2 linked regions of the Caenorhabditis elegans genome follow. The protein of the gene in region 1 purifies or fractionates together with the protein of each later gene. This does not show direct contact. Each region holds a gene or a part of one and is shown on either strand. Other genes may lie near its edges.

Region 1 (5,329 bases):
GTTCCCGATTTTCTGATCTTTATTCTCATCACATTTTTGTATTGGATAGCTTCTTATGTCGAAATACGGGCTGTTCTTGATTTTCTCCTTGTTTTTTCCCTCTTCATTTTCTGCTCTCCAAATCATTCAAACACGGGGCTTCAACACAAACTCAAATTTTTGAGATATATACTACCCCTTTCGCAATTTTTGTAGCTTTTTTAAATTTTTATGCGTGATGTTCGATTATTATTTTTGTTTTATTAATATACATATGTTCACACTAGAATCTCTGCCTTTTTTCCTCGTCCCCAAAATTACCCTTTTCATGCAATTTTTAGATTAGAATAACGAAAAAACGGCTTGAAGTTAATGATGGTTGAATTTTCAGAAAGGGTGGTGGTCTTTTTCTGTAAATTCGACGTTTTCTGCCCGCTTTTTCGTTATTTTAAAGACTTGTACATCCGATAGATCGATTGCGCCATTTTCGACGTATTCCTCCGTGTATAGAAATCTTTTTAAATTGTGTGAAAACATTTAAAATCGCGCTAGATGTCTTTGTCTATTTATCGTTCCCATAACCTTTTTTCAATTTTGCGTCCTTGTTATCTGATATCATTACGATTTGTAGAGGTTTCTCTTTCATTCCCCTTTTACCAATTCGCAATAAAGAACGCGTCATTTGATATACTGAATTTCCAAATTTTTATTAACATCACAGATTTGGATATTACGTAATCATCAGAAAGATATAATTTCTACATTTGTAGCGCGTAATATCTCATAGCGACTTTCTACCGTATAATTGAACTGAAAAATAATTAGTACGGTAGAAAGTCGCTAGAAGATATTTCGCGCCACATAAATAGGAACTCTTTTAACGGTTTTGCAAAGACTTTCTATATACTGAAACAATTGTGCAACTTAAATTTATTGAACAACGTCGGGTTCGGGGGATATTTAAACGTTTACAAAATAATGCAGAATGGATAGTTTGATGCTTCCAGAGGAGGAGAAAAGTGAAAGGTCTAGGTTAAAAAAGAGGGAGTCGTCAATTATAAAAAAACATAATAAATTTTCAAAAGGAGAACGGAGGACTGAACCGTGAGGGAAAATCGAAGAAAATTTAGAAAATGGGAAAAGTCGAGATATTGTACAAAAACAAGGCAGAACAAAAAATGAAGATTCGAAGAAATCATCAGTTAATTTTCGAAGCATTACTATAGAGTGCATCGACAACCTCTCCCATTGCATGAATTGTATCCAGAGCAGTTTGGTACGCCTCATCGGGAACAGCAATTTCAAATACAATAAGCATTCCCTCGCCTTGATCAAGAGATCCCGAAAGTTTTTGATCGAGAATCATTTGGGACAACTTCTTTTCGACCTGAAAGTTTTATAAGTTTGTGTAAAAATTAACAACTTTTTTGCATTTATATTTAAAAAACAATATTTTTGGTTCTTACCTTTGATCTATCAATTCCAATCTGTTGAGCAACATGTTCAATTTGAACGAATGAGTATGGCTCAATAATACGGCACAGATCTTTTTCAAGCATTCGTTCACTCAAAGAATGGAAATGTTTTCGGACAACTGGATCCATTTGAAGTTCCTGTGGGAAAGAACCGAATGCAACTTGGAAATCCTTAAGAGATCTCTTTTGTGCAGCTGCGGCGATCGCCTTCATCGCATCCAAATCAGAACCATTGTATTTAAGAGCAAGTTTTGCGGACAGAAGACTGTTCACCTCATCTGGAAGGTCAAGCATCACCTGAAAAATTTAATATAGGATTTAAATATAATAGTAATTATTTTTGAGTATTACCTTGCACAGAAGCATATACTTAAGAGCGGTGAGGGCGGACACTTTTTCATCAACCGAATCGTATCCCTCAAATGCTTCGTAAAAGTATGAGAAAGCTGTCTTGAAGTCCTTCTCGTCGGCAGCGTGAAGAATTCCCGATTGAAGATCGAGAGCTGCTTGCATGCGAGGATTCACATAGATTGCGTTGGCAGTTGTACGAGCACCAGTGAGAGAAGCACGAGCACGACCAATATTGGAAAGATTATAGTACGCTTTGCTTTCCTCAAGTTCGACTTCCACGAGAACGTCCTTATCGTCGACTTTTTTCAGTTCACGAATCAAATCGGCAGCTGAAAAGTAGATTATCAGTTATTTTCAAATATTACAGCGAAATATATTACCAAGTGGAAGAGCCTGAGTGTATCTTTGAAGATCATTATAGAGGCGAACAAGACGAGCAGTGAGTGTTTGACGGAGGAAAGTGCGATTTTGCTCGGTGGCCCATTGAATACATTCTTTAACGAGTCCAACCTGAAAATAGTTGGGTTTATATTTGAAGCTTATTATTCTGCTCACCTTAATATCTCCATCTTGATCATCAATTTTAAGACATAGATCAACAAGATCTCTGACAAGTTTTGCAGCCTTTGCCTTTCCCAATGACACCAAAAATGGCCTCGTTTGTTCAATCATATTTCGGAGCTCTTCAGTTTGCTTATTTTGAGCCAAAATATTTCCCAATTCCATGATCGAATCTTCTTTCTTCTTGATATCATCGTCCCCAGATGCTGGTGATTTTACTTCAATTTGGGACAAATTGGAAAATTCTGAAATATGGAAAAGGACTCACCGAGATTGGTGAGGTGACGAATGACGTTTTGGTCGTTTTGATGTGGAAGTGAAGTCATTGTATCCATAATGGTTCCTCCAGACATTTCAGGTGCTGAAATTAAGATTTTAATTGCAGTAAAAAGTATTGAATTTTATGGGGTTATTCAAGTAATGTAGCAAAATGTATTAAAATACATTTGTGACGTCACAAATGTATTTAAATACATGTTTTTGTTTACTTGAATACAGCTGTGACGTAACTTTTCTACACTTTTTAATTTTCCGACACTACTTGAATAACCCCATTAAAAATGAAATAACGGAATGGAAATTGTCGGAGCCTCAGAAATCAATAAGTGCTTGCGGAAAACACACCAACTGATTATATCATTTTAAAATATGATAATTATCATTTAATTGATCAATTATCAAAATATAAACGGATAAAACATTAGAAAACTGGTAAGAAACAGAGAGTAAGACAATGACGATGACAATTCCCGCCAGCGTATTTTTCCCGGTGTGGTACGGTACACAAATGGTGTTTGCGGACTTGAAGGTGACGCGAAAATGCACAGAACAGAAAATTCAACAAAATGTTGTTTAAAATACAAATAAAGCTTATTTTTTTCGGGTTGATTAAAAAAATTCGAGTTTATTAAAAATTTACTTTCTCGTAACAATATGTTCTTCGTTGTGGTTAAATTGCACTGATAAAGACCAATAAGGTCAAGCCGCCAGTTTAACTGAAAACGGGGAGCCCTGAAAATAAAGAGTTGTTTTCGAACACCAGCATCGGGGAGCTGACTATGAGCAAATAGCGGGCTCGTATGTAAAAGAGCGGTTAGCACGTGAATTTTTGAGAGTCCTCTTGGGGGAAAAGTGGTGAATTTTAAAATGCTGTGTGGAGATCCAAAAAAAAATCAATGCAGGCATGCATGAAAAACAGGTTGATCAAAAACTTATTCTTTTTTGGAATACAAAATTGACTTTAAAACACCAAGTGCAAATAAATAATATTGAATTAACTCTTTTTCACTTTCAAGAGGTAAAGTTCAGTTTTTCAATAAAAAACGTACCTTTTCCAATATTATTAGTGTCTTCTCGTGAACTCGTTTCTCTCATTAGGACGAAAAGTTGTGTCAATTAAAATAATTTTTTGAAGCAGCTTCGAGGATGTCAAAACTTCAATGTAGATTTCTTTCATATATTTCTGAGCAGCTGACTCTCATTTTCAACTAAAAAACAACTAGTTATTTGGCACATGTTCTGGGTCTCGCCACGACTTATCCCCAAGATCCAATACATTCGTTTCAGAGAAATCTCACTTGATCCCTCGAAATGTTTGTCGTTCCTCGTCGTCTGTCATCTTTTTTATCACTAGGTAATTGATAAATTAAATGATTGTATCATCTCACACTCTAACCGTCTGGTGTCTTTTCATCTCACACGATATATGTATTTCTCTTATCATCTGTTTCTATTTCCTACGGTCATTCGGTCATATTCAGTTCACGAATATCGTCACTTGGCACGTAGATCATACGTTATGGAGACACCATCTATTGATATTCAAAGTGAGTTTATAATAATTTTTTACCAATAATTCTTGATTTTTCAGACATTCGGGCAAAATATCTAAACTCTCATGATCCATATCTACTCGAATCAAAGTTACCAACCACGTCACCATTCGAACTTTTTGATATCTGGTTTCGTAACGTCGCTTCACAATCTGACTTAACATTCGAAGAAATCAATGCAGTATCCTTATCCACCGTCGGAAAGTGAGCATATTACATTCAAAATGGAGAAAAAAACCTAGAAAGTATTAATTCAGAGATCTTCGTCCATCATCCAGAATGGTTCTTCTGAAAGCGTACACACCAACTGGCTTCTCGTTTTACACAAATTATACTAGCCGCAAAGGAAATCAATTGGAAGAGAATCCGAATGCCGCGATGCTCTTTTATTGGCCTAAAGTCAATCGTCAGGTATAATTTTCAACTGCTGAAAATTTGAAATCGAGATTATTTAATTTCAGATTCGAGTTGAAGGTGTTGTTGAGAAGCTTCCAGATGAGATGGCCGTCGCTTATTGGAATTCTAGACCAGTAGCAAGTCGAATCGGATCAAAATCAAGTGATCAATCAAAAGTGGTTCCCGATAGAGAATTCTTAGAATCCAAAAAAGTTGCACTGACAGAGTTATCTGTACGGGAAGGAGCTCAAGCAATCACGAAACCAGAATCCTGGGGTGGATATCATTTGATTCCTCGATATTTTGAATTCTGGCAAGGACAATCGGATCGTCTTCACGATAGAATAGTATTCGAAAGAGATGTTGATGTGTGGCTTCTCAAGAGGCTTTCACCATAATTCCATTCACTTCTATAGTTAAAGTTCGTGTAGATAAAAATTAAAAATATTTTCCTTGAGAAATACGTCGTATTTATTTATGAATTAGACCATAAAATTTTTTCTTACCAACGGAATTACTTCAACAAAAAATTACAAGTTAAAATGAATCAAATTAATCACAATGTATCCTGTTATATTCTTAATCACTTGTGAATTAGTTCTCGAATTATAATTTAAAGAATATGTATTTGATTCTTTAATGATCATTTTCATTTCCGAGTTATTTCAAATCAAAATGTCAATTGAAAATTTCAATTTGAAATAATAGCCCATAGAAAGGTAGGCTATCATTTTC
Region 2 (3,582 bases), 2.6 Mb from region 1:
TTAGATATGCTCTCGAACCTCTCTTCTGTTTCTGTTTAACATTTGCCAATCCGATGCCTCGTCCTTCTCTCCATCCCATTGATCGGAGCATCCGTACTCCTATCGAATTACTAACAGGCTTCACAACATCCTCAAACATCTGAGTTATCGTTGAAATACTTGTCGTATCCCGTTCCCAAGCCATTTTCCTTTTCTGTCCAGCTCCTTCACCAAATGCCGCAGTCTGTTTTATCGATCGATTCCCTATTCCATATTCTCCAAGATCTTCTGCATCCATAAAATCTTCAGCTCTTTGTTTTATTTGTTCTCCACGTTCATTCCGAGATGATGAGAACACTTGAGGAACCCATCCTTGCTTTGATCCAACTGTATTCCAATAACCAGCTGAAAATCCTCCAGTGAAGGCTCCATGGAATCTCCGTTTTCCTTTTTCATCTGTTGCTATCTCTTCGTGGATTTGAGTTGGCTTTTTTGATACAGAGCTTCCTGAAATTATTTATTTTTTTCCTGAAAACTGTAAAATTGCAGACCTTCTTCGTCATCATCTTCGAATTCCTGACCATATGCTGCTAATTTTTTCCTGTTCATTTATTTAGAAAAATCTGAAATGAAATTCACATTTTTTTCCAAAACTTTTTAGGAAACAAAAATCAATATTTTAATGGATTTTTCTGAAACCGTATATTTTCCAAAATTAATTTCAAAAAACTCGAGCTGAATGACACCTATTTATTTAAACCGACAAACTAAATCATCAATATGATAAATACAAAGAATAAAAATAATTGTTCTGTTTCTGTGTGATCACTTGTTGACCTTGTTGAAGTATTCCTTGCTGGTAGCGACTCCTGGCTTGATGGTTGGAGAATCCTCATGCCAATCAGCTGGGCAAACCTGAAAAATTAATTTTTTATTCGTCGAAATTTGTTTTAATGGACTAAAACTAGCCCGAAACGACCGATTTCCTTTTCAACAAAAATTTAAATATTTTTATGGCGGGCCAAAGTTTCGGAAAAAAAACATTGCATTTTTTTTGCTAGAAATTAAATTTTTTGTAAATTTCAAAATTCACCTCTCCGTGCTTATCAGAGAATTGGAATGCCTTGAGCACTCTCAAAGTCTCATCAACAGATCTTCCAACTGGAAGATCGTTACAAGTAGTGTGACGGACAGTTCCAGATGGATCAATGAGGAAAAGTCCACGGTATGAGAGTCCGGATTCCTTGTCGAGCACACCGAACGAGTCGGCGATCTTCTTGTTGAAATCAGCGAGCAAAGGGATGTCCATATCACCGAGTCCTCCGTCCTTGCGTGGAGTGTTAACCCAGGCCAAGTGAGAGAAGTGAGAATCACACGAGCACGCGACAACTTCAGCTCCAAGAGAACGGAACTCGTTTGCACGATCTCCGTATGCGATGATTTCAGTTGGGCATACAAAGGTGAAGTCAAGTGGATAGAAGAACATGACGAGCCATTTTCCTTTGTAGTCTTGATCAGAAATCACCTGGAATTAATTTTTGAAAAAAATATATATATTTGTTATTTTTAACCTTGAAGTCTCCATCAACGACAGCAGTTCCTTTGAAAGCTGGGACAGTATTTTTTGGTCCAAGTGGACGAAGTGACAAAAGAGCACGAGATGTGCTCAACTGGCGGGTGGCAACAGTAGGAACCGTGCGGCAAAGAGCTCGAACAGCAGAAGAAAACATCTGCAAAACTCAGATATTCAGAAATCTTTTTTTCCAGAATTTGATCTACGAAACAATTGAAGATATCAAATCGTTCCAAACTGGTTAACGATAAAAAGAAAATAGCAACAGCAGATAATTGAAAAATGGTCATTTTATTCACTGTTATTGCATGTGTCACATAGATAACAAAAATCGCAAAATTGAGAAGAGCGAGCGAGTTGAGACCAAATAGATATTTAAAATTTCGAATGGTAAATTGGGAAAGAGGACAAAAAATAAATAGAAAAGGAAAAACTTAACAGTGACGTGTAAAAAAACATAAAACGTGGATTGGAGAGGACAATTAAGTACGTGGTTTTCAGCGCTTTCCAGAAGTCTTCTTTCCCTTGACGAAGCACCAATCGACTTTGACATTCTGGCCGAGAAGATCTGTATCGTTGCTCTGATCAATAGCTTCGTTGGCTTCCTGGAAAATAAATAATTTATATTGATACCAGCCGTGGACCGCACCTCCGGCGCGGCCCCCCACTTCTGGGGCTGAAAACTAATTTTTCTGAAACTACCGTAACCCTACAGTATTCCTACCGTACCACTATTGTACCACTACAGTACCCCGACTATATCCCTACACTAACCCCAACTCACTATCCCCACAGAAGCCAAAACTTCACAGACTACAAAGACTACATAGACTACAAACTATGGACACACAGAATAAGCGCTTTATATATAGTAAATGATTTCGATAGAAACGACGACTGCTAAAATATTACCTTCTGCGTTTCGTACTCCACCAGTGCGTATCCCTTCAAAAAACCGGTTCGTCTGTCGAGATTCAAATGAATGTTCTTAATTTTTCCGTACTCGGAAAACTTGTCATGAACATCATCTTCTGTTGCCTCTTCGTGAATGTTTGTCACGAAGACAATCCATCCTTCAACGGATCTTTGTGGTGCTCCGCTTGTGGCAGACGACTCTTCATCGACCACGTCGTAGGTGATCCTCTCGCGATTGCGACTCTAGAAAAATATATTATTGATTATTGATTACAAAATTCGACAAAATTTACCTGCGCAAGTCCTCGACCTCTTGATCTCTCGGCGTTGGCCACCACATCCTCCATCTCTACTTCGTTGTCGCTCATTTTTCTCTTCAAGCGATTGAGACGATCGGGCTCTGAAATTTTATTTATTTATATTTTCAGTTAGATCATTCAGTTTGAAAACCGCCACAAGTTCCTATTGGAAAGAGCAGTTTACACGAGAAAATGTAGAGAAAAGATCGAGGAAAGAATAAATTAAAAGAAAGTGCACATTAAAAATATTGAGATAAAATGGTTAAAATTCGTTAAATACAGGTTGATTTCGTAGAGATCAGTAGATACTTCAATAGTTGAATCCACCGCCAACAAGACGACGCATTCTTCTCGTGTTTCTGTCTTGATCACGCATCTTCTTTTCGATTTCAGCGTCGGTTAAAGTTTCGAGGAATGGACCCCAAGATTCGACTTCAGATGATGTTCTGAATAGCATTGGTTTGCAAAAATTCATTATTTCATATCAAATTTACCTGAACGGGCAATCAACAGTGGCCAGTGGGCTTTCTGAAAACGCATATGTTCTTTGATTCCATTGTAACTGTCCGCGAATTGAATATGCAATTCCTGACATAAATTCACCACCGAGGCCAAGCTCTTTGCAGATGTTTCGTGAAAACTCTTCCGGGCTGTTATTAGGATCCGACATATCCCACCTGAAGTTAAAATGAATTGTCAGTCTTTAGCATTTCCAACATACTCGAATTGATCAACCAAACTCTGGTTTCCAACATTAATATTCAACTTGAGAACGGCTCTCTGATCACAAATGTTCACATCCAATGGTGGCGCTTC

What was found. The genes of interacting proteins can lie anywhere in the genome.
Region 2: the proteins of rpn-6.1 (region 1) and prdx-3 fractionate together in Caenorhabditis elegans (co-fractionation; one large-scale study listed by BioGRID). This does not show direct contact.

Annotation. Positions count from the first base shown.
Region 1 is NC_003281.10:6,958,214-6,963,542, forward strand, and holds rpn-6.1 (putative 26S proteasome regulatory subunit rpn-6.1), read right to left. Parts: upstream 3,789-5,329; 5' UTR 3,741-3,788; coding exon 3,695-3,740; intron 2,728-3,694; coding exon 2,635-2,727; intron 2,585-2,634; coding exon 2,361-2,584; intron 2,316-2,360; coding exon 2,186-2,315; intron 2,135-2,185; coding exon 1,806-2,134; intron 1,752-1,805; coding exon 1,446-1,751; intron 1,367-1,445; coding exon 1,178-1,366; 3' UTR 897-1,177; downstream 1-896. Other genes in the region: F57B9.1 (Putative pyridoxamine 5'-phosphate oxidase), read left to right, coding at 4,165-4,192, 4,237-4,402, 4,456-4,609, 4,660-4,992. UniProt on the Caenorhabditis elegans protein: Component of the lid subcomplex of the 26S proteasome, a multiprotein complex involved in the ATP-dependent degradation of ubiquitinated proteins. In the complex, rpn-6.1 is required for proteasome assembly.
Region 2 is NC_003281.10:4,405,571-4,409,152, reverse strand, and holds prdx-3 (putative peroxiredoxin prdx-3), read right to left. Parts: upstream 1,710-3,582; coding exon 1,551-1,709; intron 1,505-1,550; coding exon 1,073-1,504; intron 895-1,072; coding exon 805-894; 3' UTR 719-804; downstream 1-718. Other genes in the region: gpch-1 (G patch domain-containing protein 1 homolog), read right to left, coding at 19-486, 531-588; RNA-binding protein rnp-4, read right to left, coding at 2,050-2,157, 2,465-2,710, 2,761-2,835; snfc-5 (SWI/SNF Subunit INI1 DNA binding domain-containing protein), read right to left, coding at 3,077-3,212, 3,261-3,443, 3,488-3,582. UniProt on the Caenorhabditis elegans protein: Thiol-specific peroxidase that catalyzes the reduction of hydrogen peroxide and organic hydroperoxides to water and alcohols, respectively.